Callithrix jacchus: one gene and its partners. The protein of the gene in region 5 binds, or shares a complex with, the protein of the main gene of each other region. Links are inferred from orthologs where the notes say so. Each region holds a gene or a part of one and is shown on either strand. Other genes may lie near its edges.

What was found.
Region 1: SMARCC1 (region 5) and ARID2 share a complex: the UniProt entries of both Homo sapiens proteins name them as parts of the SWI/SNF-B (PBAF) chromatin remodeling complex. The link is inferred for Callithrix jacchus from reciprocal best matches to the Homo sapiens genes SMARCC1 and ARID2.
Region 2: SMARCC1 (region 5) and SMARCD3 share a complex: the UniProt entries of both Homo sapiens proteins name them as parts of the BAF complex. The link is inferred for Callithrix jacchus from reciprocal best matches to the Homo sapiens genes SMARCC1 and SMARCD3.
Region 3: SMARCC1 (region 5) and PHF10 share a complex: the UniProt entries of both Homo sapiens proteins name them as parts of the neural progenitors-specific chromatin remodeling complex. The link is inferred for Callithrix jacchus from reciprocal best matches to the Homo sapiens genes SMARCC1 and PHF10.
Region 4: SMARCC1 (region 5) and DPF3 share a complex: the UniProt entries of both Homo sapiens proteins name them as parts of the BAF complex. The link is inferred for Callithrix jacchus from reciprocal best matches to the Homo sapiens genes SMARCC1 and DPF3.
Region 6: SMARCC1 (region 5) and PBRM1 share a complex: the UniProt entries of both Homo sapiens proteins name them as parts of the SWI/SNF-B (PBAF) chromatin remodeling complex. The link is inferred for Callithrix jacchus from reciprocal best matches to the Homo sapiens genes SMARCC1 and PBRM1.
Region 7: SMARCC1 (region 5) and SMARCA2 share a complex: the UniProt entries of both Homo sapiens proteins name them as parts of the BAF complex. The link is inferred for Callithrix jacchus from reciprocal best matches to the Homo sapiens genes SMARCC1 and SMARCA2.

The regions. Positions count from the first base shown.
Region 1 is NC_133510.1:29,508,525-29,512,024, forward strand, and holds part of ARID2 (AT-rich interactive domain-containing protein 2), read right to left. Parts: coding exon 1,107-3,500; intron 278-1,106; coding exon of another isoform or gene 227-277; exon of another isoform or gene 12-226; intron 1-11. UniProt on the Homo sapiens protein: Involved in transcriptional activation and repression of select genes by chromatin remodeling (alteration of DNA-nucleosome topology). Required for the stability of the SWI/SNF chromatin remodeling complex SWI/SNF-B (PBAF).
Region 2 is NC_133512.1:96,968,451-96,971,950, reverse strand, and holds part of SMARCD3 (SWI/SNF-related matrix-associated actin-dependent regulator of chromatin subfamily D member 3), read right to left. Parts: intron 3,228-3,500; coding exon 3,016-3,227; intron 1,252-3,015; coding exon 1,209-1,251; intron 369-1,208; coding exon 246-368; intron 132-245; coding exon 9-131; intron 1-8. UniProt on the Homo sapiens protein: Involved in transcriptional activation and repression of select genes by chromatin remodeling (alteration of DNA-nucleosome topology).
Region 3 is NC_133505.1:176,378,851-176,383,050, forward strand, and holds the start of PHF10 (PHD finger protein 10), read right to left. Parts: upstream 2,801-4,200; 5' UTR 2,517-2,800; coding exon 2,238-2,516; intron 1,759-2,237; exon of another isoform or gene 1,192-1,758; intron 1-1,191. UniProt on the Homo sapiens protein: Involved in transcription activity regulation by chromatin remodeling. Belongs to the neural progenitors-specific chromatin remodeling complex (npBAF complex) and is required for the proliferation of neural progenitors.
Region 4 is NC_133509.1:107,683,174-107,686,673, forward strand, and holds part of DPF3 (zinc finger protein DPF3), read right to left. Parts: intron 2,063-3,500; coding exon 1,902-2,062; intron 1-1,901. UniProt on the Homo sapiens protein: Belongs to the neuron-specific chromatin remodeling complex (nBAF complex).
Region 5 is NC_133516.1:30,366,093-30,369,592, reverse strand, and holds part of SMARCC1 (SWI/SNF complex subunit SMARCC1), read left to right. Parts: intron 1-43; coding exon 44-157; intron 158-1,239; coding exon 1,240-1,393; intron 1,394-2,707; coding exon 2,708-2,821; intron 2,822-3,500. UniProt on the Homo sapiens protein: Involved in transcriptional activation and repression of select genes by chromatin remodeling (alteration of DNA-nucleosome topology).
Region 6 is NC_133516.1:35,227,355-35,231,280, forward strand, and holds the start of PBRM1 (protein polybromo-1), read right to left. Parts: upstream 2,801-3,926; 5' UTR 2,636-2,800; intron 2,496-2,635; exon of another isoform or gene 2,321-2,495; intron 1-2,320. Other genes in the region: GNL3 (guanine nucleotide-binding protein-like 3), read left to right, coding at 2,980-2,992, 3,643-3,701. UniProt on the Homo sapiens protein: Involved in transcriptional activation and repression of select genes by chromatin remodeling (alteration of DNA-nucleosome topology). Required for the stability of the SWI/SNF chromatin remodeling complex SWI/SNF-B (PBAF).
Region 7 is NC_133502.1:108,563,011-108,566,510, forward strand, and holds part of SMARCA2 (SWI/SNF-related matrix-associated actin-dependent regulator of chromatin subfamily A member 2), read left to right. Parts: intron 1-1,716; coding exon 1,717-1,959; intron 1,960-3,405; coding exon 3,406-3,500. UniProt on the Homo sapiens protein: ATPase involved in transcriptional activation and repression of select genes by chromatin remodeling (alteration of DNA-nucleosome topology).

The DNA of each region.
Region 1 (3,500 bases), on a different chromosome or scaffold from region 5:
TTTTTTTTTTTGAACTTCAAGAAGGCAACTTTATTCATTCACATGAAGAAAGATGCATATTAGTAATATCCATCAGCAACTGCAAGAGCAATAACTGTTCTGAAGCAAAGGGCTCTTCCTTTTGTTCTTGTACTTTCCATTTGGCTGCTGCCCACACCTAGGTTTGGTACTAATGCCAACAATGGCCATCTATCTGCTGTCATCACCGTAAGCATACAGAAGAAACTCAAGCCAGAACTGGGCTAGCAGAGTTGGCAGTAGTCACAGAAGGTTCTGGCTATGCAGGAATGAAAAAAAAAAAAAAAACAAAACAGAGTGAAACTGATCCAGGAAATAGGTGGTGACAACTGTTAAGAGAATCCATGAGTTCAGTCGAAAGAACATGTAAGATTGTCATCAAAATCTTTATAGCCTGATTGGACCCTCAATTTAGTAGTGCTGATTTTAGAAAATACTTGTATTTACTAAGGCATGCAGAGATGGAATATTAGGCATTAAAAAGAGAATAGCAGGAATATGACAGTAAAGCAAAGGAGTAAGAAACAGAAAAAAGTATCAGAATACCTGAAACAAACAGAAATTACAATAAATACTTTTTTAACACTAAAGGAGGCTAATTCAATACATAAATACAAAAAGAATACGACTGATAAAGTTATTACAAGATTCATCCTTATTACAAAAAGTACTATTAAAGGGGCCACTAAAACACATTCAGGTCAAAATCAAATACAGAAATCCCCATTTAGAGTACTTACTCTTAGAACCTCCATTCCCCCAACCCCTGGGCATTATACTCAAGAAAGAGATTAAGATACATTTTTTAAATTCTCCAAAAGATGTTAGATTAGCAACTGCTTCTCTACCTTGAGCCTACAAAATTATTAGTTTGAATCTATAACAAAATTGAAAGATTCTTTAAATCATGTACTAAAATTGAAAACTAGTATTATATCACCAGAGAAAAAGAACAGGACAGTTTGGATACAAGTGAGCTGATAGAGTAACTTTTCAAGGTGAGACATGAAAAACAGTGCATTTCCCTCTAAAACCTTATTTACAGATCAGAAATTTTATAAGAGAAATACGATCATAGAATAACTTACCTGTGGGACCATATTCTGTACGTATGTTGGTGGATGCTGTTGCTTTTGCTGAACAGCACTTTCTATTGCTACTTTAGCTACAGTGCTTGGATCTGCTCCAGCTGGCACAGCAACCATTGTTGCACTACAGCCAGCATTGTTGGGGTCACTGATTGTAACAATTCTAACTCCTACTTTATTTGGAATTCCTGTGACTGTTTCCCTATCATTATCCTCTGCTGGCCTCTTTACAGTTTTGCATTCTGCTGTGCCATTTGTAGACCGAACATCAGATGAAAGGGCAGGAGAAGGGGACACTTTTGATCCTGAGTCGGGAACTGCTAAGATTTGATGTCCCTGTATAACAGAGGTTGTAGAATGTGGTGAGACAACTACACTTGGGCGTTGCTGAGGCACATCTGAATTCAAACAGGAAGCTAGAGGTCCATTAGGAAAATCAGTACCACTAAATTGTTGTGTTGCCATATTTGAAGCCTCCTGTATACTGCTCACAGATGATGAACCACCCAAAGTTAATACAGGTCCATTAGGAATTCTTTCCAGTTGATCACCTTTGGCAGTATCTTGCTGAGTGACGTCTAAAGTCCCTTGAGGTTCCACTGGAGATATCTCACCATTTCCTACATGATTGGAAGTTTTGTGATTTGGAATGTTTTTGCTTAAATGAGAACCATCTCCTTTATCAAAATCACAGATTCCATTAACTAGCGGTTTTTTCAAATCACTTTTGATATCCTGCATGTCTATTTGTTCTGAGTTCTGTTTTCCAGATGCTCCATTCTCACCTAATTCCACTGACGGCCCATTACTGATTAGTGAGCACTGATTAGTCTCACTTTGAATCTTCCCTGAGTTTGAAGGAGGTAGACTTGAGTCACTGTACTTTCTCCCATTTAAAAGACTTCCCAACTGCATTTCATTTTCCTTTGTATCCCCATTGCTGGTGTTTGTGGTTCCTCGTCGGCAGGACGGGTTCTCCATGACTTCAATTTTACGTTCGTGAACATGTAAACCTGTTGCTTCCTTTGCTTCCTCCTCCTTTTGGCAAATTATTTTATCACCTTTGAATGGGGGAGTAGCAGTAGTACAGGATGATTGTCCAGCAGGAGATGCTTGAGTGGCTGGAAGTGTTTGCACTGGAAGTCCAACTCCTGGTTGCGTTCCGCTCATGGTAATGCCTGCTGGAGCAATGAGCTGAGTTGCATTTCCCTGACTCACGGTTGCAGTTGCAAAACTTGTATTTGGCACAACTGTTATGGTTACCTGGTTGCCAGAAGTCCCTTGGAAAATGGTTGCTGGGCTATTTGAGATCAGTGGGCCTGGCAATATTTGTAAGTTCGAAATGGGCACAGTTTGTACTCCCCCTGTGGATGGCATTGCACTTTGGACCAACTGAACATTTTGCTGCCCAACCAATAGCTGCTGAGCTGGAGTTTGCCCCTGCACTCCAAAACCTGTGGCTTGGTTACTGGCCACCTGATAGACCACCTGAGGGCTAGGCGCTCTTGCATTATTAGGGGGAGGAATCTGTGGAGCTGGAAGAATAAGCTTACCACCTGGTGTTGAAGGACCACGTTTTGGAAGCAGAAGCTGTTTAATCAGACTCGACTCACCAGAAGCAGGCTGACCAACTCCTGCATTTGACTGCTGAGGTTGAACTTGCATCTGTACTTGTTGGGGCTGCTGAACTTGTACTTGTACCTGCTGTGGTGGGGGTGCTGGTGAATGCTGCTGCTGTTGCTGTCTTTTCACAGATAACATTTGACTGACAGTAGGGGGTGGTCCCTGTGATTGAGAGGTGGAAGAAGACGACATGGCAGTAGGGACTTGGTTATTAGTAGCTGGGACAGGTGATGGTGAAGATGATGGAGTTATGCTAGGTTGTCCAGTTAGCTGAACTGTCTGACCAGTTGGAAGAGCTGCTGGATTAGCAAGAACAATTTGGTGAATGGCTGGTGCATAAGTCTGACCTTGTTGAGCTGGCTGGCTTACAATTACTACACTTTGTTGGGTTGGCTGCTGTGGTTGTTGAATAGGCTGCTGTACTACTGTTGATGAAATTTGCTGAGAAGGGAGAGGTTTTGGTGCAATGTTCTGAAAGCCTACCCTTGAGGGTTGTGGACTTGGGACACCAGCAATGGTAACCATTTGTCCTGTAGTTACCTGAAAATTCTGTACTGAAGTTGCTGAGACAATATTGGATGCAGGAGTTGTTACGTACTGTGGGGGTGCTATGATAACAGTATCTTGTGACTGGCTACCAGTTGATGTCTGTTGAGATGAAGTTTGCACAGGTTGAGGTGATGTGGTGATTAACTGTTGACCCTGTGAAACTGTAGAAGTACAAGCTGGTATGTTCTGTACTCTGCCAAATATATGACTCTGTGGGACAGC
Region 2 (3,500 bases), on a different chromosome or scaffold from region 5:
GGACGTACATCATCCAGGAGCTTCCCCTCTACCCGCAGCTCCCAGGAGGCAATGCTGCCATCGGAATCCTCAGCATCAGGCTTCGCAGGGTTAAAAGTGTTGGAGATATAAAGACGCAGCTTCCGCTTTTGCTGTAGAAATAGAGTGTAGAACCAAGTGAATGCTGTGTGCTCCCACCCTGACCACCTTGCTTCCCCATCCTGGGCACGAGACTGAGTCCCCCTCCTACCCCCAAACTAAGGCACCTTCATGGGCCTCTTGAGAGCCTCCTGGATGTCCACCCGCTTCCTCATGATGGTTTGATCCAGTTTCCTCTCAAACGCTAAGAGGTCCATGTAAGCCTGGGACTCGGGGACCAGCTCCCGAATCTGGAGAAGGAAGAACAGGGCAGAAGTCAGAGGCTTCAGTCCAGGGTTGTACCATGGAATGTATGCATGTTGTGTGATCCTAGGGTACAAAAGATGTGGAGGGGAGCCATCCTACTTCTGGGCATGGAGCTTTCACAGTGGGAACAGGACCTCTCTCCTCAGAATGCCATTATCTAGCAGTAGGGCCCTCTCTGTGTAGGGAAAACAATTGCTTCTCCCTTTAGGAAGAGCCATGCGTTTCATCATCAGAAGAGGAGATAGTAACTGTGGAGCCCAGCAAGCACTAGTCTTTAGTCTCCTCATCTTATCATTTTCCACGTCATACACCTACTGGGCTTCCCCTGGGCCCTGCAAAGTGCATAGTAAGGGCTCGGTCCCTGAGACAAGTTGGACAGTGGTGTTTGCTTCGCTGCTGGCACCTCGTTCAGTCCCTGCACCTGTCCCAACTGTGCTGTCCTCATACCTAGCTGGACCTGGGTCCCTTTAGGATGCCCAGGATCTCTGGCCACCTTCTATCACCTTCATTCTGCCTGGCAGCCTCTGATCCCCTAGCCCTTGTCCCCTCCTGGGCCTACACCTTTAGGTCTTAGTGTCCAATCCCCTGACCCTCAGCCCTGTGTTCTGGCCCCAGTGGCTCTGCTGCTTCCCTGCACCCCACTCCCTCCCTCTGGCCTGGGGAGCCTCACTTATTAATGAGCTTTTTTAAACAAAAAGTGAAAGTGACTGTAACGCTGAAGCTCTGCTTCTGAGGGGGGAGGGGAGGCAGCTTGGGTTGGGGGAGAGGAGGGCGGAGCAGCAAAGGGTTGGGGGTGGGCTGGGGCTGCTGTGAAAGGCACTCACCCTTTGAGGGAGGATTTTGTCAGCCATCTTCCTCCTCTTGGCACTGTACATTTTTTAAAGAAAAAAACAGGTTACCATGGCGACAGATCTGGGAGTAACGAGGCCACCTGCTAAATTATCCCGACATCTCTGCCTGCCTGGCTGGGGTTCCCACAGCCGGCTTGTCTGCCTGCCCAAGGGCTATGACGGTTGTGTGTGGAACTGGTGCTCTGTCCTCTCTCAGGACATAGGGGTGTCCCATCCAATATTCTCTGGCCTGGGAGCCCCTTCCACCCCGCCACATCCTTAGGGACAGAAAAATTTAGACTTAGGAGGGACTGGTGGGTGGGGGCGGTGCTTCCAAAGATGGGAGCTGCAGAAGTGTTGGAGGAAAGGTGGGGATCAGGGAGGACAAAGGAGAGGGAAGCCAGGTTCTCAGGACCTTTTCTGCAAAGCAGGAGGGGGTGCCCTGTCCAAAGGGGTCTAAGCTCAGAGGGGAGAGAGATGACCTCCTTCCTATCCATGGAGCAGGAGGTGATGGTGTGAAGCTGGTGGGACTTGCATCCCAGCCAGCCGCCCTGGGCTTGGAAGAGAGAACGATGATGGGCAGGGGGTGCTCATGTCTGTGGCCTACCTACCAACAGGGTGAGGGACACACTGCAGCCATAGGGGCCCAGAAGTGCATGGATGCTCTCCTGTGTGGGTATGACTTCAGGCTGGGGCAAAATTGACTAGGCCTGTGGTAGTAGCAGCTGGATGTGGGCTCTTTCTGACCCATTGTTGCTTCTGACTCCCCCAAAAAACCTTGGCGGGTCAAGAGATGAAAACGCAGCCTAGAGAATAGCTTCATACTGCCCCCGTGTGGTATTTTCAACCACTGCCCCCTCCCTATGCAGAAATCGAAGGCTAACAAGCAGATTTCATTAAAGGTCCGATTTGTTTTAAACAGATTATGTGTAACTCTCCATTTATACAAGATAAATCAGGGAATTACCATTTTCTGTACAGATGACGATGCGCTTTGCAAAATAATTCATCATGGGATTCCTATAAGTGTGAATTTTCCCTGATGTGTAAAAAATACTTAATAATGAGATAAAATTGATATTACACCTTTTATGGAAATCCATCTGTTGTGCAAAAAAAGCATGTGTATTTGGCTAAATACTGAGACCCAGAGGAGCACTGCTGTTGCCAGGAGCCATCAGGGGCTTTGAGGGTGTCACCAGGTGCTGGAGGAAAGAAAGAAATGGACTGGCCCTGGTGACTTGGGAGTAGACCTGGTCCAGAGTGCCTAAGAATTAAGAGCGGGACTGGGCATAGACCATCTACCCACCGGGCAAATCCCCAAGCTCCACCCCCATGGCCAGAGAGTCCCATTGAGAAAATCTGGAGTGGCTTTGAAACAGCCCAAGGGGGGCTGGCAGGAAGGCTCAGCGGAGAACCACACTTCGGGCAACACAGTCTTACAGCTCTGCCCTCAGTCCCATTGGAAGCCCCGCCCCACCCCAAAGACTGAAGCATCACCCAGAACCTGACGGGTGAAGAGAGGGTCTGAGCAGGTGACAAGGAGAAGGGTGAGGGGAGCGTGCAGGGAAGCGGTACTAGCTGCGGAGGGTCGCAGCCTGTCTCTACTGGGGGCACACAAAAGAATCAGGCCGGTGCCCCCTAAGCCCACCTCCCCAGAGGGCATCCCACCCAGGAAGCCTCGCTCACTGCTAATCATTCTTCCTCGCCCCTTCCAATCCCCGTTACTCGCCCACCTGGTCCCTGCGGGTCCCCAGGGCCCGCCTCTGCACGCCCCCTCCGCGCCGGGCCCCCCACTCACCTGCGGCTCCGCGCGGGGGCGGTGGGCACCGGCTGGCCCTGGCTCTGTGCCTGGCTCTGCCCGGGCGGGGGCGCTGCTCGCTTGCGGGCGGGCTCCATGCCCGCGGGGGCCAGGCCGGGTCGCACGGCGGGGCTGCCCATGTACGGGGAGCCCGGGGGGCCCATGGGCGCCCCCTGGTGGGGCATCCGGGCTCCAGACGGCATCCCGGGGCGCTGGGGGTGGGGCGGGGGTGAAGCAGAAACGGGCGCCCGAGAGTCAGACCAGGGCCCGCGCTCCAGGCGCGGTGAGCCGGCGTCTCCCCTCCCCCCCAGACCCTCGGCTGGTGACCCTGAGCGCTGAGCGATGGGTGGGAACGATGGGTAGGAGGGGCAGGGGCGCCGGAATCCGCGCGGCTCTGGCGGAGGGGCTTGGCGTCTGGCTGCAGTAAGCTAACTGAAGCCAGGCAGCGCACAGGGCATTGCGAGCCTCGGGGCTGCGGAAGGTAC
Region 3 (4,200 bases), on a different chromosome or scaffold from region 5:
AACTAGGCGCCAGTTTATAGGACAATTTTGACTACTTTAGGCATTTATGCCCCTGTGAAAAGAGGACATACAAGACTGAAAACAGATTATCAATTCTAACTATTCACTTTTCTTCTTACATTGCTATAATTTAGCAAAAATATACCCTAATAAGGGCCATCAATCTATAATACAGCAACACACAAACCAAGAAGAGGGTTGAGAGAGGGAGGGGATTTTTTTTTTTTAAGAAGCTTATAGATTTTAACTGCAATCCATTATGTGGCAAGAATATCAAGGTTATAAATTCAACCATCTCACTCAGTAAAAGTATCAGACGTTAGGAAATTGATGTATTTACATATTAGCCAAGGCTTAAGGTCTAAAAAGGATACTTTGTAAAAATGTAATATTGCTTTTAACTCGAATCCAATTTTACTAAATACCAGGGTCCTCTTGCTGCATATTAAAATGAAAGCAACCCTGCAAAAGAATATAAAGTGGCAATATGGCATAGTGCCAAGGCATGCCAAACCTGGACAGCCTGGATCCTCAATGCACTCACTAGCTGGGGTTACTTTCTGTGAGTACTTTCCAATCTGAAAATTTGAGACTATAATATTGCCCCTATTACACAGCTAATTCAATGATTAAATGAGCTACTATATTAAAAGCACTTACAACAAGAACTAGCAAATAATTATGTCATAATATTAGTTAAAATGATGATTATGATAATCAAGTCTCAAATGTCTCTAGCTCCTAGAAATTTACTGGTTCTTTTCCAAAGATATGTATTCTTTTTCAGACCTTATAAAATAAGCATTTCATGAAAGACCTCTGCGTAGCCTAAATCTACTCTGAAAATTTGCATGTATCACAACTGCAACATTTCATATTCAGTACTTGCAACATAACTCATTTTAAGCATTCCATTTTTTATCTTTTTTGTGAAAATTTTAAGGATTTTTATATCCTTAAACATCAGCATATTTCCCTTTAGCTAAAAAACGGAGACACTGAAATATATACAAAAATAAAAAGAAACTGAAAAATGTGAAGTGCTCAAAAAAGCTGAGAGCACAATTTTATACACAGTGTTTTAAATTGCTACCATAAATTCTAGGCAAAGGCATTATTATATAAAGTGAGCATGTGCGCAGCGGGCCTTCTTCTAGAGGTAGGTAGTCACAGCAATATTGCTCCCAATACCTGACGGAATAAGGTAAGAATTTGCAACCGCAATCCCGGTACAGAAGCCCATGTTTACAAAGGCTCAAAGCTGTGCCTTCCAGAGTTCCAAGTGGTTTCCACCCACAGGTTAGATGAGTTTCTATGCATCACATCCTTCCTAAGGTGCACTCAGGGGGCCCTGGCTCAGTGCCTCGGTGCCCTCCAGGTGCCGGGCCAGACGTCCGATGCTGGCAGTGCGGGAACGTGCGTTCAGCCTTACTCTAGTTACTTCCATGGGCGGGAGTCTCTCTGACAGCAGGATGGACGTGCGCGGAGGGAGGAGCCCCGGGCAGGCGCAGCCCCGCCAGGCTGCCCCAGGACGGGTCCCCGCCAGCGCGCACACTACACCGCCTTCTCCTTTCAGCTTGCCGATTTCAAGCGTTGCGGTTTTTAAAACATCACTCCTCCTTCCAACCTTCTGTCCTCCCTTAGCCGCTGGCCTAACTTAGAACCGAAACGTTTGGATGTGTGACAAGCCACTGTCATCTCCTTCTCGCCACAATCGCCGAGTTCTTGTCGCCTCCCAGCAGTACGAAGCTTAGAAGCAGACTTCCGCTGAAAACATCCGGACGCCTGCGTACGCGCTGACCCGCACCGAGTTCACCGTGTGCATTTTCCGCCTCGTTCGCCAGCGTGTTCTGCAGTGAGCTTTCAAACACTCCGGCAAACTATGCCCGGAATGCAGGCCCCTGCGAGGCCGCGTCTCCCCGCCCCGGGCGCGTTCCGTCCCGCAGCTGGCCAGGGAACAGGCGTCTGGGGACAGTCTCGTCAAACGCGGCCGGCCGCCAACTTCAGGGAGGCCGCACCGCCCGCCCGCCCGCCCGCACTTGTTGCTCGCTTGGGGCCGGGGGCTCCTCTCCGGGCCCCGCCTCGCCGACCACCGCGGGTCTCAGGGGCAGCGCACAGCCTGCGGCCCACGCCCCCGAGACGCCGGCCGGCCGCCGGTGGGACTGGGCCGAGACCGCGGAGCCCCGGCCCCGGAGAGGGTCAGAGTTGGGGTCGGGTCGCGCAGGCCGCTTCCTCACCTTCGGGGACTGCGCTCCGGGAGTGGCCGGGTCGCTTTCGCACGGCCGCGGAGACAGTGCCGCCCCGGGCCCGGCCGCCGCCGCCGCCATCAGCCCGAGCGCCCCGCGCCGCCGCCGCCGCCGTCGCCTCCGCCTCGTCCCGGCCGCCGCCGCCGCTGCCGCCGCCACCGCGCGGGCCCCCCGCCGCCCCGGCCCCGCCCCCTCCGCCCGCCCGCCCGGGGGCCGGCCCCTGCCGCCGCGCGCCCCGCGGCCCGCCAGCGGCGCCGCCGCCACCGCCATGGCCGCCGCCAGCGCGCCGCCCGCGCGGGAGGGCGCCGGAGGCTGGGAGGGCGCGTGGATGTGGGCCGGAATGGAGGACGCCCGGCGGCGGCGGCGCTCCTCACGTCAGCCCGACCCGCCCGGCCGCCGCCCCCCACAGCTCCGCCGCTGGCCTCACTGCCGCCGCGGCTCCCTTCACCTCCGCCGCCGCCTCAGCCCCGCTGCTCCCCTCAGACCCGCAGTTGCCTCAGCCCCGCCGCCGCCCGGCTCCCCACGGCCCGGCGTCGTACTCGGCCGCGGCTCCCACCAGCCCGCGGCGCGCCCCACCTCCCGCCCGCCCTCCGGCCCGCCCCGGCCCGGCTCGTCTCCACTTGGCGCACTGGCAGCCGCCCCCTCCCCGCGGCCCCCAGCCCGGCCCGGCCCCTACGCGCGTCACCCTCTCTCCCTCCCTCTCTCCGCGCCCCGCTGCGCTTGCCTTGCCTCGCCCCGCCCCTCTTGGGGGTCCCCGCCCCGCCCCCTCCCTGCCGGGGGTCGCCGTGCCCCGGAAGCCGCCCGGGGACTGCCCGGCCTCTGCCTTTGCGCGCTCGCAGTCGCCGCCCCTCGCCCGCCTTTGTTCTCGGGCCGCCCCTCTCGCTGGCGCGCCGGAAGACAGCCGCGGAGCCACCTGTCCCGGCCGCGCTTCCCGGGGCATCCGCAGTTGCCCCGGGGGGCCGAAGGCGCCCGCCGAGGAGCGTGGGGAAGGCACGGCGGGAAAAAGTCGCCGAGATTCGGCCCGCGTGCCTGCGTTCCCGCGTGGTTGATGCCTCCGCCGAGGACGCGGGTGGCGGGGAGCCGGGGAGGGGCCTGAGGCCGGCTTGGCAGGTACCCCCGGGAGAACGCGGAGCCGGTGTATGATCTCGGCTGCGTCTGGGCTCCCCTGGGACCTCACGTGAGGAGCCGAGCTTGGCCAGTCCGCAGCTGCCATCACGGCCTCCCTCACCTGCGCCTGCAGATGCTTGTTCTGGAAGGTGGAGGATGCGCTCAGATTCAAAGTACAATCCCGCTTCCTTTCCATTCATTGTTGTTGCCTACGCCCCAGCAACAGAACTTCGGGAAGACAAAGGGATGATTTCTAGGATGTCGCATTGACAACCACCGTCACCACGCCCAGCCCAGCCTGGCTCCTTGCTCCGGTCCGAGAGGTCCCCACCGACGGTGCCAGGCCTTCGAGCCCTGCTGACCCAGCTTCGTTCTCGCAGCTGAGGCCAGACGGGCCCTGTTCCTCAGTCCTGCCCCGTGCAGGCGTCAGCCTCCACTGCACTCCTTGTCCGAATCTGCCAAGAGGCAACTGCGTCTTTCAGCTAAATTGTCTTCATTCATCAGGACCCTCGCTCAGACTCCCCGGATAGAGTTCAGCGTTTAAAAAAAAAAAAAAAAAACCTCTGCGGCTATCTGCATTGTGAAAGCTGTTACAAAATGGAGTCAAGGAAAGCCACGAAGGGAAGGTTCTCACTAATAATAGCCTGATATCAAGAATTAACACAAAAAACTGCCAAAACCACAACCTTGCACAAAGGCCACAAAACTACACAAAAAGTGCTTTAAGGACATGTGCACAGCTACTGCTGCCCAATCTTGGACCGGCATCCCCTTTGTTATTGATCTTTATAGCCAAGGGTAATTGTTTCCAAACAACTTAGGTAATCCTCCCCTTTTCCTTGTAAAC
Region 4 (3,500 bases), on a different chromosome or scaffold from region 5:
AAACAATGACCAAGCCAGTAGCAATGACCACCACCAGACTGTGGTCTCTGAGTAACATTTCCTACAGAAAGAAGCCAGAATTTCTTCAAGAAATAGCTGATTTCAGGCCTGGAGAGCCAGAAGTGTACAAGATGAGCCTGATATATTTTATCCTAATAGTAGGGTGGCAAAAAGGCTATCAGAAACTACTGGGGTTGTTTCAAATCACCAGCACTGGCCAGAATCCTGAAGGACCAAAGATGAGGCAAGGTACGCATCCTAAGAGTAATAGCTACACTGGATTAAAATACATCAAATATGTTTACATCTGTGAGTTTCTGGTGGTATTCAAAAAAATAATTACTATTACATTGATCATCTTTGGAGAATGCTAGAGAACCAACTCATTATTTTGAAAACTGGTAAACAGAGGGGAAAAAAGTCATTTATCCTGCCTTTCATATGTGAACTGTATCTCGCAATAACTAAAACTTTAATGAGGGAATGTTTTTCTTTATAGAAGTTGCAGAGCTAACAAATGAAGATATAATGATAGTCCTGGATTGGATATTAACTTTTTGCAACACTTAATGGGATAAAAAATCTAGGCAATTATCATGAAGGGCTAACATCAGTAAAAGGTAACCAGACTGTATGAGCCTCCTGATGAAAGTACACACTACCACTTAGGAGTTGTTCTTGCCCAAAAAAAAAAAAAAACCTTGAACCTGAGTAAGTCTCCAGACCTAACTACCAATTCATAGGAATAACACTGTGGGGATGCAACCACCAAATCCTTCTGGGAAACCCCACAGGGTAAGCAACCCAGCATCTTCAACAGGTAACACGCAAGAAGGAAAGAGAGAGTCACAGGCAGAGACAGAGAGAAACCCAGAGATGTTAAAAGACACATCAGTCACTTGCAATGTAGGGCTTCCATTTGGATCCTGATTTAAACTACAGGGGGAAACATGAATGTTGACCAAATATTTGATGATATCAAAGTCTTATTGCTAATTCTTTGAGCTGTGATAGTGATTGTGGGTTGATTTGTTTGTTTAAGTTCTTTACCATTTAGAGATACACAACAAAATATTTACGGATAAAATCATGTGCTTTCGTGGATTTGCTTCCAAATAATCTGAGGTCAGGGAGGAAAGTGAGAAGTGCGTATAAATGAAACACGATTGACCTTGAGTTGATCACTGTTGAAGCAGGGTTACATGGAAATTTGTTTGACTGTTGTCTTCAGTTTCATATAAATGTGAAATTTTTCCAAATAAAACGTTTTAAAAAATAGAGTCAGACAGAGCCAAAAAGTCACATTCCTGTAGCCATCTCCCTAATAAGAAGGTCTTTATTCTGTTCTTTGGGGCCTAGAAGACTAGTGTCCTGTAGTCGTAGTAATAACAGTAATAATAATAATAGCCAGCAATTTGGAAGCTCATACTTAGCATGTGCTAAACTCATGTTATGAGTTTTTATCAAACTTCCCATTTATTTCAGACAAAATCTTATGTGGTAAGTACTATTATTCACATTTTACAGATGAAGAACCTGAGGGACAGAAATTTGATGACAAAGCTAGGCCTCACACTCAGATCTAACAGCAGATTTCCAGCTTGTAACCAACACCCAAAGGTAAAAGATGAAGATTGCTGTCATGTCCTCGGTCTGGCCTTCTTTGGGATAAACACCTTTAGCTCTTTCACTTCCCACCCTACCCCACCCCTGCCACATGGCTTCAATGACTCACACGCATTCCTTGGAACACCTGCCATGAGTATAAAAGTAGCTGAGTTTCTTTAAGGTATCTCAGAGGCCCATGTGCAGCTTGCCCCGCCCCGATCCCACCCAGGCTGCCTGGATTCCCAGACAAGCTCTGGTCTTCCTCCCTCCAGAGCAGGAGTGGCATAGCTCACCTGGGCCTCGGTGCCTCTTCTCCATCCAGATGTAGCAGTTGTTCTGGGCCACCCCAGTCTGTGAGTCCAGGAAGGGAAGGCGCACGCTGCGCTCTGCACACAGCCGGGAGTTGTAACTCCGGCAGTGCTCAATGGCTTCCTTGTAGAACTGGTCCCCGAGCCTGCCAGAGTCAGAGAGTGAAGGAGTGAGGCCAGGGAAAACTGAAACACACCCAGAGGGAAACTGATGTCAAACACCCACCTCCCTGGGAAGACTGAAGATCTCCCAGTTATGAAGACCAAGGCAATGAGCACCAAGAGCCTTGTGAACGAGCAGAATGCAACTCAGTGTCAGGTCTTGACCAGGTTTTATTTTCTATCCCAAATCCGCCAAGCAACTTGGAAACTCCTTTAATAAAGAGCATGGGCTTTCAAGAATGAATCACCAGTAAGAGAGAACGGTCCATGTTCTCAAAGGCATAGGTCCCACTCCAGAGGGGAGGTAGCTCGGGAACAACCTTATGTACAGAATCTAGAGGGCATCGTGCTTCTAGAACCTCCTCACTCCTACTGGCTACGTTTTGTTCTCAGAAGTCACCAGCTAAGGCACTCTAGGTGAACCCAAACCACCAGCAAAGATACCCAGTTTTCCATTACAACGGAAGAGAAACACTCCATATAAACAAAAACTAGAAGGACAGAGGAAACATTCTATAAAAGTAGGGCTATTGCAGGAGGAAGGAGGCATAGAGGAACAGGCACCAATCTTTTAAAACTGTATTACTTAAAGAAAAATAATTTTCTGAGAAAAAACTAACGGAATTCAACAATTTCGAATTCAAAATAATTCAACTCACGGAGTTTAAAACACAAATAGAAAGACCTTTCTGGTTTGCTGGACTGAGAATCTGGTTAAGCACAGTAAATTTTACATTCCTGACTCTGGTTTTTGGACACGTGGTGATGGTACTGATTTTAAGGTAGTGTCCTTTTCAAAGACCAAAAATAGAGCACGATATAATTGATCAAATGCAAAGCACTAAAATAATCAATGAGATCAAATGCCTAACAAATAAAATATAGGCACAGACTAATAAATGCCTCAAGGAAATACACATAACATAACCTATGCCAGGTAAATTTAAGCCTCTTCCTGGGGTCGGGCGGCAGGGGCACAAAGGAGTGCACGGTGGGAAGAATAAGTAGAAAGGGAAGGAACCACAGAGGTCATAGGGCAAAAGGGAGAATCAAGGGTTTATTCTGAAGCAATATTGTGATGTCTTTCTGTTTTCATTCTATGTAGATTTCAAATTGGATTATAACAGCTTAAAATGAGAGGGAAAGTCTCTAAAAATAACATTTCTTAACCCAAGTATTTGGAAGAATTTTTAAAAAGCAAAATTGGGATTTTGTTTCAATGTCTTAATTGTGGTAAAATACACATAACATGAAGTTTCCCATGAAGCACATGCAGACAACAGTGCTTCCAACCACCACTACATCCACTTCCAGAATTCTTTCATTTTGCAAAACTGAAACTCTACCCGTTAGACGACAACTCCCCATTCCTACTCTGCTCCCATCTCTGGCAACTACTATTCTGCTTTCTATTTTTTTTTT
Region 5 (3,500 bases):
AAGAATACATATCCACCTTATGAATTTTGCCATTGATTTTTAGATACTTGGCATATCGAAATTTTATGATTGACACGTATCGCCTAAACCCCCAAGAGTACTTAACCAGCACTGCTTGTCGGAGGAACTTAACTGGAGATGTATGTGCTGTAATGAGGTAAAGCATTTGACTTTTTCTGAGACATTTCACTGTAGGAATTTACTGATGCATTGCTATCGAATGTTTGCTTGATTAAACTGGATATTTCAACTGGGTAAAACACCTAATTTTAGTTATCTCATTTAGGGGTTGATTATATTTTGTTTCTTTTTATTTCATTCAATTAAATTATTTTTATTTTATTATTTTAATTTAATGTTATCATGATGGGGTTTCACAGTGTTGCCAAGGCTGTTTTCAATCTCCTGGCCTTAAGTGATTCTCCTACCTTGACCTCCCGAAGCACTGTGATTGCAGGTGTGAGCCCTGGATTCAGGATTAGGAGTTGAATATTTAAAATACTTAATTTAGGCTGGGTGCGGTGGCTCATGCCTGTAATCCCAGCACTTTGAGAATCTGAGGCGTGTGGATCACCTGAGGACAGGAGTTCAAGCCTGGCCAACATAGTGAAACCCCGTCTCTATTAAAAGTACAGAAATTAGCTGGGTGTGGTGGCACATGACTATATCTCAGCTACTCAAGAGGCAGGAGAACCCAGGAGACAGAGATTGCAGTGTCATCCAGCCTGGGTGACAGATCGAGACTCTCTCAGAATAAATAAATATTTAATTCAGTTTTTTAGATTTTATAATTCATATTTTTAATTTTTTGTCAAATCATAAAATAAGCAGGGATGGAGTGGGTTCAGGTCGAGAGTGGATAAGCTCTGTGCCCTAGATCTGCCTAAAGACAAAAAAACAAAATGTGGATTTTTTTGGTGTGTATATTTGGTCTGTGTGTGATTTCATTTATTAAAATGGACCTAAATATGTATTTGTGCTCTCATTTCTGTGGTTGAAATGATTAGATTTTGTAATAGGTTTAGGGGGTGCTGTGTTATCAACGTTACTTGTGACTTAAGAAATTCTTCCTCAAAATCTGTCAGGTAGTTTGTGGTGTTTCATAGCCTGCTGAGAATATTTACTTCTTTTATTGTTTCTGTTTTTTAATAACATCATGATGATGATGATGATGATGATGATGATAAAGCACCTGAAGTTGATTCTGTAGATTTTAACTTTTCGAGCTTTTTTCTTTAGGGTCCATGCCTTTTTAGAGCAGTGGGGACTTGTTAATTACCAAGTTGACCCGGAAAGTAGACCCATGGCAATGGGACCGCCTCCTACTCCTCATTTTAATGTATTAGCTGATACACCCTCTGGGCTTGTGCCTCTGCATCTTCGATCACCTCAGGTAAATTAATGTCGACTTTTTCTTCAGAACTGGATAGTAACACCTGACTATTTACAGCATATCTATTTAGGAATAATTGTTATTGTATTATAATGGCTATTAATAGTGCTATTTCTTTTATGGTTGGTTGTGTGTGTGTGTTTTGGTGTACTGTAAATATTACAGTCCAAAATAATATATGCTATTTAAGTTAATGCTGTCCCACCAATCCCAAGACCCACTGCCTTACTCTATCAAATTATTAATTTACTTTTATATACATAACTTCCTTTATCCTTCTGTCATCAGATACTCATAAGTAAGCAGATGATGCAAAATGTTTTTTTTCTTCCTTCAGTCTTTGTTCTAAAAATGTGAGGCAAAGAAATCTTTATAACTTGTCCTAAGATTTATAAAGTTTATATTCATATATACATTATCAAACAGATTATGTCAAGGAAATTGTATTTAGCATTAAGTTGTATTTACAGGAACCTAAGGTATAAGAATTTTGTCCTATGGTGAAATAGAAGATAGTAATGAAAATTTTTTATCCTTTTTGGGACTTAAATGGACGCGAAAATGTGTCTTAAGTGTTGAATTTTTGTTAGAAGTATAGTGTAGAAGTGTGGGTATTTATTTTTTTGTAGGAGATCCACCAAGAGTGGTTTAAGTGCCAATATTAAACAGTTTTTTTTTTTTTGAGCTGGTGTTGTTCTCTCACCCAAGCTGGAGTGCAGTGGCGCAGTCTTGGCTAACTGCAACTACTGTCTCCCAGGTTCAAGTAGTTCTCCTGCCTCTACTTCCTGAGTAGCTGGGATTGCATTCCCTGCTAATTTTTGTATTTTTAGTAGAAACAGGGTTTACCATGTTAGTCTGGCTGGTCTGGAACTCCTGACCTCGTGATTTACCTGCCTTAGGCTCCCAAAGTGCTGAGATTACAAGCATGAGCCACCGTGTCCAGCCCCAGCAATTTTTTTTTTTTTTTGAGGCGGAGTTTCGCTCATTACCCAGGCTGGAGTGCAATGGCGCGATCTCGGCTCACTGCAACCTCCGCCTCCTGGGTTCAGGCAATTCTCCTGCCTCAGCCTCCTGAGTAGCTGGGATTACAGGCACGCGCCACGGTGCCCAGCTAATTTTTTGTATTTTTAGTAGAGACAGGGTTTCACCATGTTGGTCATGCCGGTCTGCTGACCTTGTGACCCACCTGTCTCAGCCTCCCAAAGTGCTGGGATTACAGGCATGAACCACTGCGTATGGCCCAGTTTTTGAAAAACATTTATCCTCTTGACTTTAAAGAGGTTAACTCAGCCATTTATCATTTATTTGACTCAGGTCCCTGCTGCTCAACAGATGCTAAATTTTCCTGAGAAAAGCAAGGAAAAACCAATTGATTTGCAGAACTTTGGCCTTCGTACTGACATTTACTCCAAGAAAACATTAGCAAAGGTAAGGATTTTGTTTTTAATCTAAACTCATGCAGGGTATAATCCAGCACGTCTTAGTACTTCTATGATACATCTAATGAGTTTTCTACTCAAATCTGGTGATATTTAAAAAAACACTATTAGAGAAAATCGAGGGGGGGAATGGAAAATTTGAACAGATAATTGGAATCTGTGAAAAGAATCATGAGGTCGGGGGTGGTGGTTCATGCCTGTAACTGCAGCACTTTGAGAAGCCGAGGTGGTCGGATCATGAGTTCAGGAGATAGAGACCATCCTGGCCAACACGGTGAAACCCTGTCTCTAATAAAAATACAAAAAGGAACTGGGCATGGTGCACATGCCTATAATCCCAGCTACTTGGGAGGCTGAGGCAGGAGAATAGCTTGAACCAGGGAGTCAGAGGTTTGCACCACTGCACTCCAGCCTGGTAACAGAGTGAGACTCTGTCTCAAAAAAAAAAAGAGTCATGAATATTTTAGAACTGAAAAGTATACTTGAAATTATTTGATGGGTTTAATAACAGGCTGCATATAGCAAAAGATAGGTTAGTGAACTCAGAGACAAATTAGTATATATGTGGAAACCTAGGTACCAAGAGCGAAAGAAATTGAATTGAAGTAGGGAGGGGCTAGGATAAAGAGAGGAGAGTGCAAAGATGTGATACAGTACAGGCTGGACAT
Region 6 (3,926 bases), about 4.9 Mb from region 5:
AGACCAGCCTGGCCAACATGGTGAAACCCTGTCTCTACAAAAAAAAAAAAAAAAAAAAATTAGCTGGGTGTGGTGGTACATGCCTGTAAACACAGCTACTCAGGAGGCTAAGGCACAAGAATCGCTTGAACCCAGGAGGCGGAGGTTGCAGTGAGCCGAGATCATACCACTGCAGTCCAGTCTGAGTGACAGAGCGAGAGACGGATTCAAACAAAAAGAATATCAAGTGTTCCTGTATCTCTCAGATCGTTGGAACAGTGAAATGATGTCCATGAAATCACTTCTGCATGTTCCCCAGGCACAGGAGCAGCATCTTGTTCATTTTTATAGCCCTGTCTTATAGAATAGTATTTAGTATAGATTAGGTGCTCAATTTATCTTTTAATTAATGTGTTAAAAGTGCACTTAGGACCAGGCACAGTGGCTCACGCCTGTAATCCCAGCAACTTAGGCCGAGGCCGGCAGATTACCTGAGGTCAGGAGTTCAAGACCAGCCTGACCAACACCGTGAGACCCCCGTCTCTACTAAAAATACAAAAAATTAGCCAGGCGAGGTAGTGCATGCCCATTAATCCCAGATACTTGAGAGCGTGAGGTGCAAGAATTGCTTGAACCCAGGAGGCAGAGGTTGCAGTGAGCAAGGATCACACCACTGCACTCCAGCCTGGGGGACAGAGTGAGACTCTGTCTCAAAAAAAAAAAAGGTGCACTTAAGTGGGACCTTTAAAAAAAGAAGTTTGTTTGTATAGTTTAAAAGGCCTGAGTCAGGCACAGGGGCTCATATCTGTAATCCCAGCACTTGGGGAGGCTGAAGCAGAAGGATCACTTAAGGCAGAGTTCAAGACCAGATTGGACAATACAGATTGACCTTGTTTCTACAAAAATAAAAATTAGCTGGGTGTGGTGCTGCACATCTGTAATCCTAGCTACTTGGGATGCCATCGTGGGAGGACTGCTTGAGTCTAGGAGTATATAAGGCTTCTGTGAGCCATGATCACTTTACTTGCATTCTAGCCTGGGCAACAAAGTGAGATCCTACCTCCAAAAAAAAAAAAAGTACTATAAGTATCGCTTTAGCAAATTTGTCTGTTTTTCCATGAAGAGGAAAGACAGATTTCAGAGTTCAATTCCAAGTTTTAAAACAGCCTTGATTATAGTCACAAGTTCAAAAATCTGACAATCAATAACTGATAGTGGACAGTTAAGAATACTTAATAATGTGCAACTGGGAGACTACTGACATTATAGACAAATGGTGTATTTTGACAGTTTATGAACTTTTAGCCCTTTCCTGTATTTCTAGAAATATTTAGCACTACAATACATGCTTAAAACAAAATCTTGGAAAACAGGACTCAAAGAAAAAAAAAAACAACTATAAACCTGTTTCAGAGAAAAAAAAACCATTCTTAATGTTGTCATTCACAATTTTTGGTATTTATCTATGCCTTAGTTACCTGTTATTATTTTACCGAAATGCTAACAAACCAAATGTATTATTCTACAGCCTGTGTTTTAACTTAATGAAGATTCTTCCAAGTCAACATTCTTCCTAATGATGTTTGATAGCTTGATACTAATCTATTATATAGCTATACCACAATGTACTTATCTTGGGAATTTTGGTAGGATATTAACATTTGAGGTATTTTGTACATTCCCAAAGCCAAAGAAAGCGGTCAAGCCCCTTCCATTCATCCACACACAAGCTCTTTATTGTTTTAATCTGAAACAACTCTTCAAAACATATTTTTCCAATCTTCCATTTTGAAGCTCAAAATTAAATATGGGCAACCTGTAAGTAATAAAGCAAAAATTACGCTACTCTTTCACGTGCACGAGTCCTATTTGCACTTTTTGAGGAAAAGCACATAGCCAAATGGGAGGAAAAAAAAAACCCTGAAATTATTTGTCGAGCGTCCTAGTGTGTCGGAAATTAAGTTAAAATGTTTTGCTCCAACACACGCTTCTATAATTGTAAGAATTTCTATATCCATTATACCGTGTACTTATTTTTCCAGATTTTTTTTCTCTGTTTTTGCAACTCTTTCTGCCCCTTTAAATTAAAACTTCTCCCTTATTATAACAAAACTGTGCTTCCCCAAACCAAGAAATACAGTTCCCAAAATCCCGGATTCTTTGCAGTGTTGAGATGAGAAGCTGAAATATCTGGCCTCTACTTATAAATACAAGTCCCATTGATCAAAATACCCGGAAAAAATAAAGAAAGAAAATCACTAAGAGTTTGTGTCGAACCGTCAAGAAACAATAACAAAAAAGCAGGCCCTGAGCAACCGAGGAAATGAAGGACTTTCCCGACCTGTCACTGGTATTGGGGACTGAGGGAAACGTTGACAGCTTTGAAGCTGCCCCGCGACGAGCGGGAAAGAGTGGCGCGGGGAGTTTCCGGGCCGTAGTACGCCTTTGTCCCTGCCGGCAGGTGCGACAGGGCTACCGTGCCCGTCCCGAGGTCCGCCGCCACGCCCCGCCCAACCCCGCGCGCCCGGCCCGACCGGCGCGTCTCCCCACGGCCGGGGCGGGGCCTCCGCCGCGGCTCCCGCCCGCCCGGGCCCACACAAAGGCCCGGCAGCTGGGCGAGGGGGAGCGGCCCCACCCGCCCAGGGCCCGGCCTTACCCAGCCGCTCCGCCGCCTGCAGCCCCGGCCGCGGTCACTGACCGCCGCGCCCCGCCCCGTGGCCGCCACGGCTGCTGCTATAGCTCCTCCGGCCGTGGCCGCTGCCGTCGCTCCGGCACCCGCCGCCCTCACCTCCCTTACCCCTCCCGGTGCCGCCGCAAAATCAGCCCCGCCGCCGCCAAGTGATCCCTGCTCCGCGCGACACTGCGTGCGCGCGCACGCAGAGAGGCGGTGACGCACTTTACGGCGGGAACGTACGTACGTGACCCTCGTCGGTGGCCTCAGTTCACACGTGGCGCCAGCGGAGGCAAGTTGTTGTCCTTGCGCCACTTTCTACAACCAACATGAAGCGGCCTAGTAAGTGGGATCAAAAGGCGGGCGTGGAGGGACCCATGTCTGGTAGTTGCTGCAGCCACTACGACACTCTTTTACGGCTTGGTCTCTGCGGGCATGGAGGTGGGAGCCTGCGCGTAGGCCTTGGCCCTGTTTTCTCGTAGAACCGATTTGGAAGGCCCTACGCCGATCCTAGGCGTGGGCTCATTCTGCAGAAGGAAGCCTGGCGGAGGGTGGGCAAGACTAGGCTAGATTTTCGGAAGGAAGCAGCGTTTAAGCTAGGTTTCAGGCCCAATATTTTTCCTTCCCTGGTCACGTGCATACCGGGCCAGGTGCACACATCGCCTCCCAGACTCTCTGTTCCTCTCTTGAATTCGTGCTGTTTTACACGAAGTGGCTGTCATTTTGGATCTCATACGCTGCTGTGTATGATCCCATTCTAATATTGTAACAGTAAGTGCAGAGAACTTGGACTCCATTCTGGATCTACTGAATCAGATTCTCTAGGATTTGAGAGTGGGCATGTATGTCTGTATTAGGCATTTCGCATTAGTCTTAACGTTAGCTTTGGCAGCCAATAACATTAAAAAAGGGTATAACTCCATAGTGCGTTCACCCAGAACTAATCATTTGCATTAACACATTTGTGATGTGATTATTTATTTTTTTTGTAGAGTTAAAGAAAGCCAGTAAACGCATGACCTGCCATAAGCGGTATAAAATCCAAAAAAAGGTAAGTGTAGTAGTTGGGAGAGCTATACCAAACACATTGCTAAACTGATTCATTTGCCCTATTCATTTGCAAAGGGAAAGTCTGGGTTAATATGATTTGGTTTCAGGAAATGGCATTGGATAGACTGATCATGGCAGCTCTTGGGCATCAGAAGTGTGGCTGTGAGAAAGAGCAGTGATTTGGTGATGAGTCTGTAAACTTGTTCAGCATGTTAATTTCCACATA
Region 7 (3,500 bases), on a different chromosome or scaffold from region 5:
GAGAGTTCCCTTCATGGCATCATAGGAAATAACAAAAAGGAAATTTGCTCCCAGGGGAGGTTTAATAATTGAGATGGCACTGGCAACAGTGCTATGTTCCACCTCCTCACACTCAGAGAGGAATTTGGCAGTGTCAGAAATGATGTGTTTTCAATATTACTATGGGAATGTGTTTGTACATTTGGGATCCTTTTTAAAAAATTCGTATTGTGTCTTTTGCATATGTATTTCAAGATTCATTGGAGACGCCTGATAACGAGATGCACTGCTTTTGTTTGTTACCGGAGAAATGGAGCTAGGGAAAGGGGTAGTAATTTTTTCCAAGTGGAAGACCTAATTAGTAGTAGACCCAATAGAAAAATCAAAGGCCTCTGATTCCTTATTATTTTGTAAGCTAAATTAGGCAGGAAAGTAGATTTAGAAGATTTGTATATGTTTTGTCTGCTTGCCTCTTTTCATGCTATTGGTAAGTTTGAGGTAGTTGATTGTACAGCTTTAATTATCCTTAAACACTTTTCTTAGAGGTTGTGGAGGAAGGAAAAAAAAATGGGGTAGTTTTTTTTTTTTAAACCTGTACATCCCAGCCTGACTGATTTTATACCTTTTCCCCTGGCATATCTGCTGCTTCTAATGAGGAAGACAAGGACTGTATAGAATACTTTCCTCATCTCACTTCTCTCTCTAGGAGCTTTGCAGCAGGATCTGGGGACATCTGAGCACCAGATGTTTTTCTTGGCCATTGCCACTGTTTTGTAGAGAATGGATAGGCTTAGTGGAACATTCCTCATTGTTCTCACCTTAAAAAACTGACTCTTAAGAGGACTGAAGGGTAAGTTATGAGAGAGGAAGGGAACTGTGTAGACGGGAAGGAGGACTGGGCCATGTAAGCTTTCTAGATGTTTTAAGCGATAGTCACGTTGGGGAAGTTTGCTGTATTTAATTCTGCAGTTTTGGCATAAATAGAGGAATTATATTTTTGTATTGCCCTTTCTGCCAGTGAATAGATCCTTTTATTTTAGATAAAACAGGGGTCCTAGATCTGACAGGTAAGGAATGTGCATGGATTGAGGGAGTTTGGTTGTCAGAACTAATTTTTGAAAAGCTGTATGTATAGATTTTATGTGAAATAGTCCAACTTTTAAATGTTAGCAACCAGTCCAAACAAAACAAAACACACTTCTGAGCCAAGCCCTAAAGGTAGTAACCAGCCAGGCTAATAGAAAAGAAGGCATGGAGCCAAGAATATCTCAGTTATAGAACCTGCTAGGGCCATCTTGGAAAAATCGGTCATTAACTTCTGCTTCAAGTGGGTACCTGTATTCTGTGCCTGTTGTGAGCAGAGGTAGCATGACCATGAAATGTGGGATAGCTGTCATGATACAGTATTAATAGAAGGGGCGTTGGATGAGGAGATGCACAATCCACATGTAGGAACAAGCATATCATCCTGGGCCCAAATTTCCTTCTTTGTAAGAAGTTGATTTGGAATTACATGGTCGGTAAGGAACATTGTTGCTTCAACACTGTTATTACAGGATGTCTTATGTGGCCTATCAGGCATGGGACATTGTTGAGATTCTCTTGTCTTAAAGATAATCATAGCATATCATGTACCAAGGATGGGTTCTTTGGTTTTCCACACCACCACTTGCCTGTGGGAAATAGTTGTTATTTTCCCTTGCTTATCACATGTCCATCCTTTCTCTTGTGTTACAGATTCGGTGGAAATACATGATAGTGGATGAAGGCCACCGAATGAAGAATCACCACTGCAAGCTGACTCAGGTCTTGAACACTCACTACGTGGCCCCCAGAAGGATCCTCTTGACTGGGACCCCGCTGCAGAATAAACTCCCTGAACTCTGGGCCCTCCTCAACTTCCTCCTCCCCACAATTTTTAAGAGCTGCAGCACTTTCGAACAATGGTTTAATGCTCCATTTGCCATGACTGGTGAAAGGGTACTGGTCTGACTTTTGTTTTTTCCACTATTTTCCACTACATGACAATGAAATGAAATGAAAGGCCCTAAAGCTGAGAACATTACAGCCACAGAACACCTGCAGGGTGGTTGACAGTGTTGCATAGTTTATGAAACCCATCAATGGGTGGACGTGGTCTTCTGTCAGGGTTATTTTCCCCTCCTGGGAAAATGGGTCTAGTGGTACTGGGGGCATCTAACCCCTTTGTCTTTTGCCAGCATGTTTACCAGGCTACCAGAAAAGGGTCCTGACCGGTGGAATGCTTAACTGCAGTGGGTCACAGGGAGGGATGAACATGGAGATATTTTGCTGAATTAATTTAAGCAGACCAAATTAACCAACTAAATACAAGCTTTAAAACAAATCTTTCCTTGTTATAAGCTTGGAAGTTCCCTTTAAAATATTTCCACATAAAGAGTTTGTGTGTAAAACAGAACTAGTTTTCACTAATTTTCTGCAGACCTTTTTTCTATTTCTTTTTTTTAGGTTTTAGTGTGAGTTTCAGTTTTGTGTGTAAATAAAAAGTCTTCCTGGAGTAGCCATTTGTTTTCAAATTTCTTACCGTTCCTTCCACTGTCTTAAGAGCTCATTTGTGAAAGCAAGACATGGGCCATTGCAAGAAAAGAAATGGGCACATGTCATTTTCATAGAGGTTCCTCATTCGTAGGAATGAAAGGCCACTAAAAATGCTTTAGCAAAATTTTGGTTTGAATTGTTTGGCCCTTTAATTTTGAGGCACCTGGGCCCCCTGTCAATAGTTAACTCACTGGCTTGCCAATTTGTAGAAAGTAGTCTCAATCAACTCTGCCCCCTAGAGGTTAGTAGGAGAAGGTGAAAGAGAAAGCTGGGAAATCTATAAAAAGGACTAAAGTTGAACTAGAGAGGGCTGAGAAAAGGAAAGGAGTGAAGTTAGAGGGACTTACAGGGCCACCAACATAAACTGGATAGACTCTACTTTTGATCCTCTTCTTTATATGTTCAAACCTCTGTTCCTTTAGTATTTTTCTGTGACTGAAACAACCAAGATGAAGAGCCTAATTTAAGGCTGCCCCTTTAAATCGGAAACATATCAACTTATTGCCCCCCTTCTCTCATTCTGTCACCTTCATCATCAGTGATACCACATACAATGTGGGGCTGTTGACACCACTGATAGAAAACTGGTAGCTTCTGGGCTCTTTTCCACAGAACTCAGCATTAAGACAAAGACACCTATTTAGAGGTAATTTTATTACTGCTTGGTAGGCAGGTGGAAAGGTAATTCAGAGGTGGGTATAACAGACATAAACCTGGATTTAATGCATGTAAAATTTCAATCATGTATTGAAACACATAAATGTAACATAAAGCTTTATGGTATGAAATGTCCTTTTTTTTTTTATCCTTTTCTTAAAAAAATCAAATTTATATAAGCCTCTCTTATAGGTGGACTTAAATGAAGAAGAAACTATATTGATCATCAGACGTCTGCATAAGGTATTAAGACCATTTTTACTAAGGAGACTGAAGAAAGAAGTTGA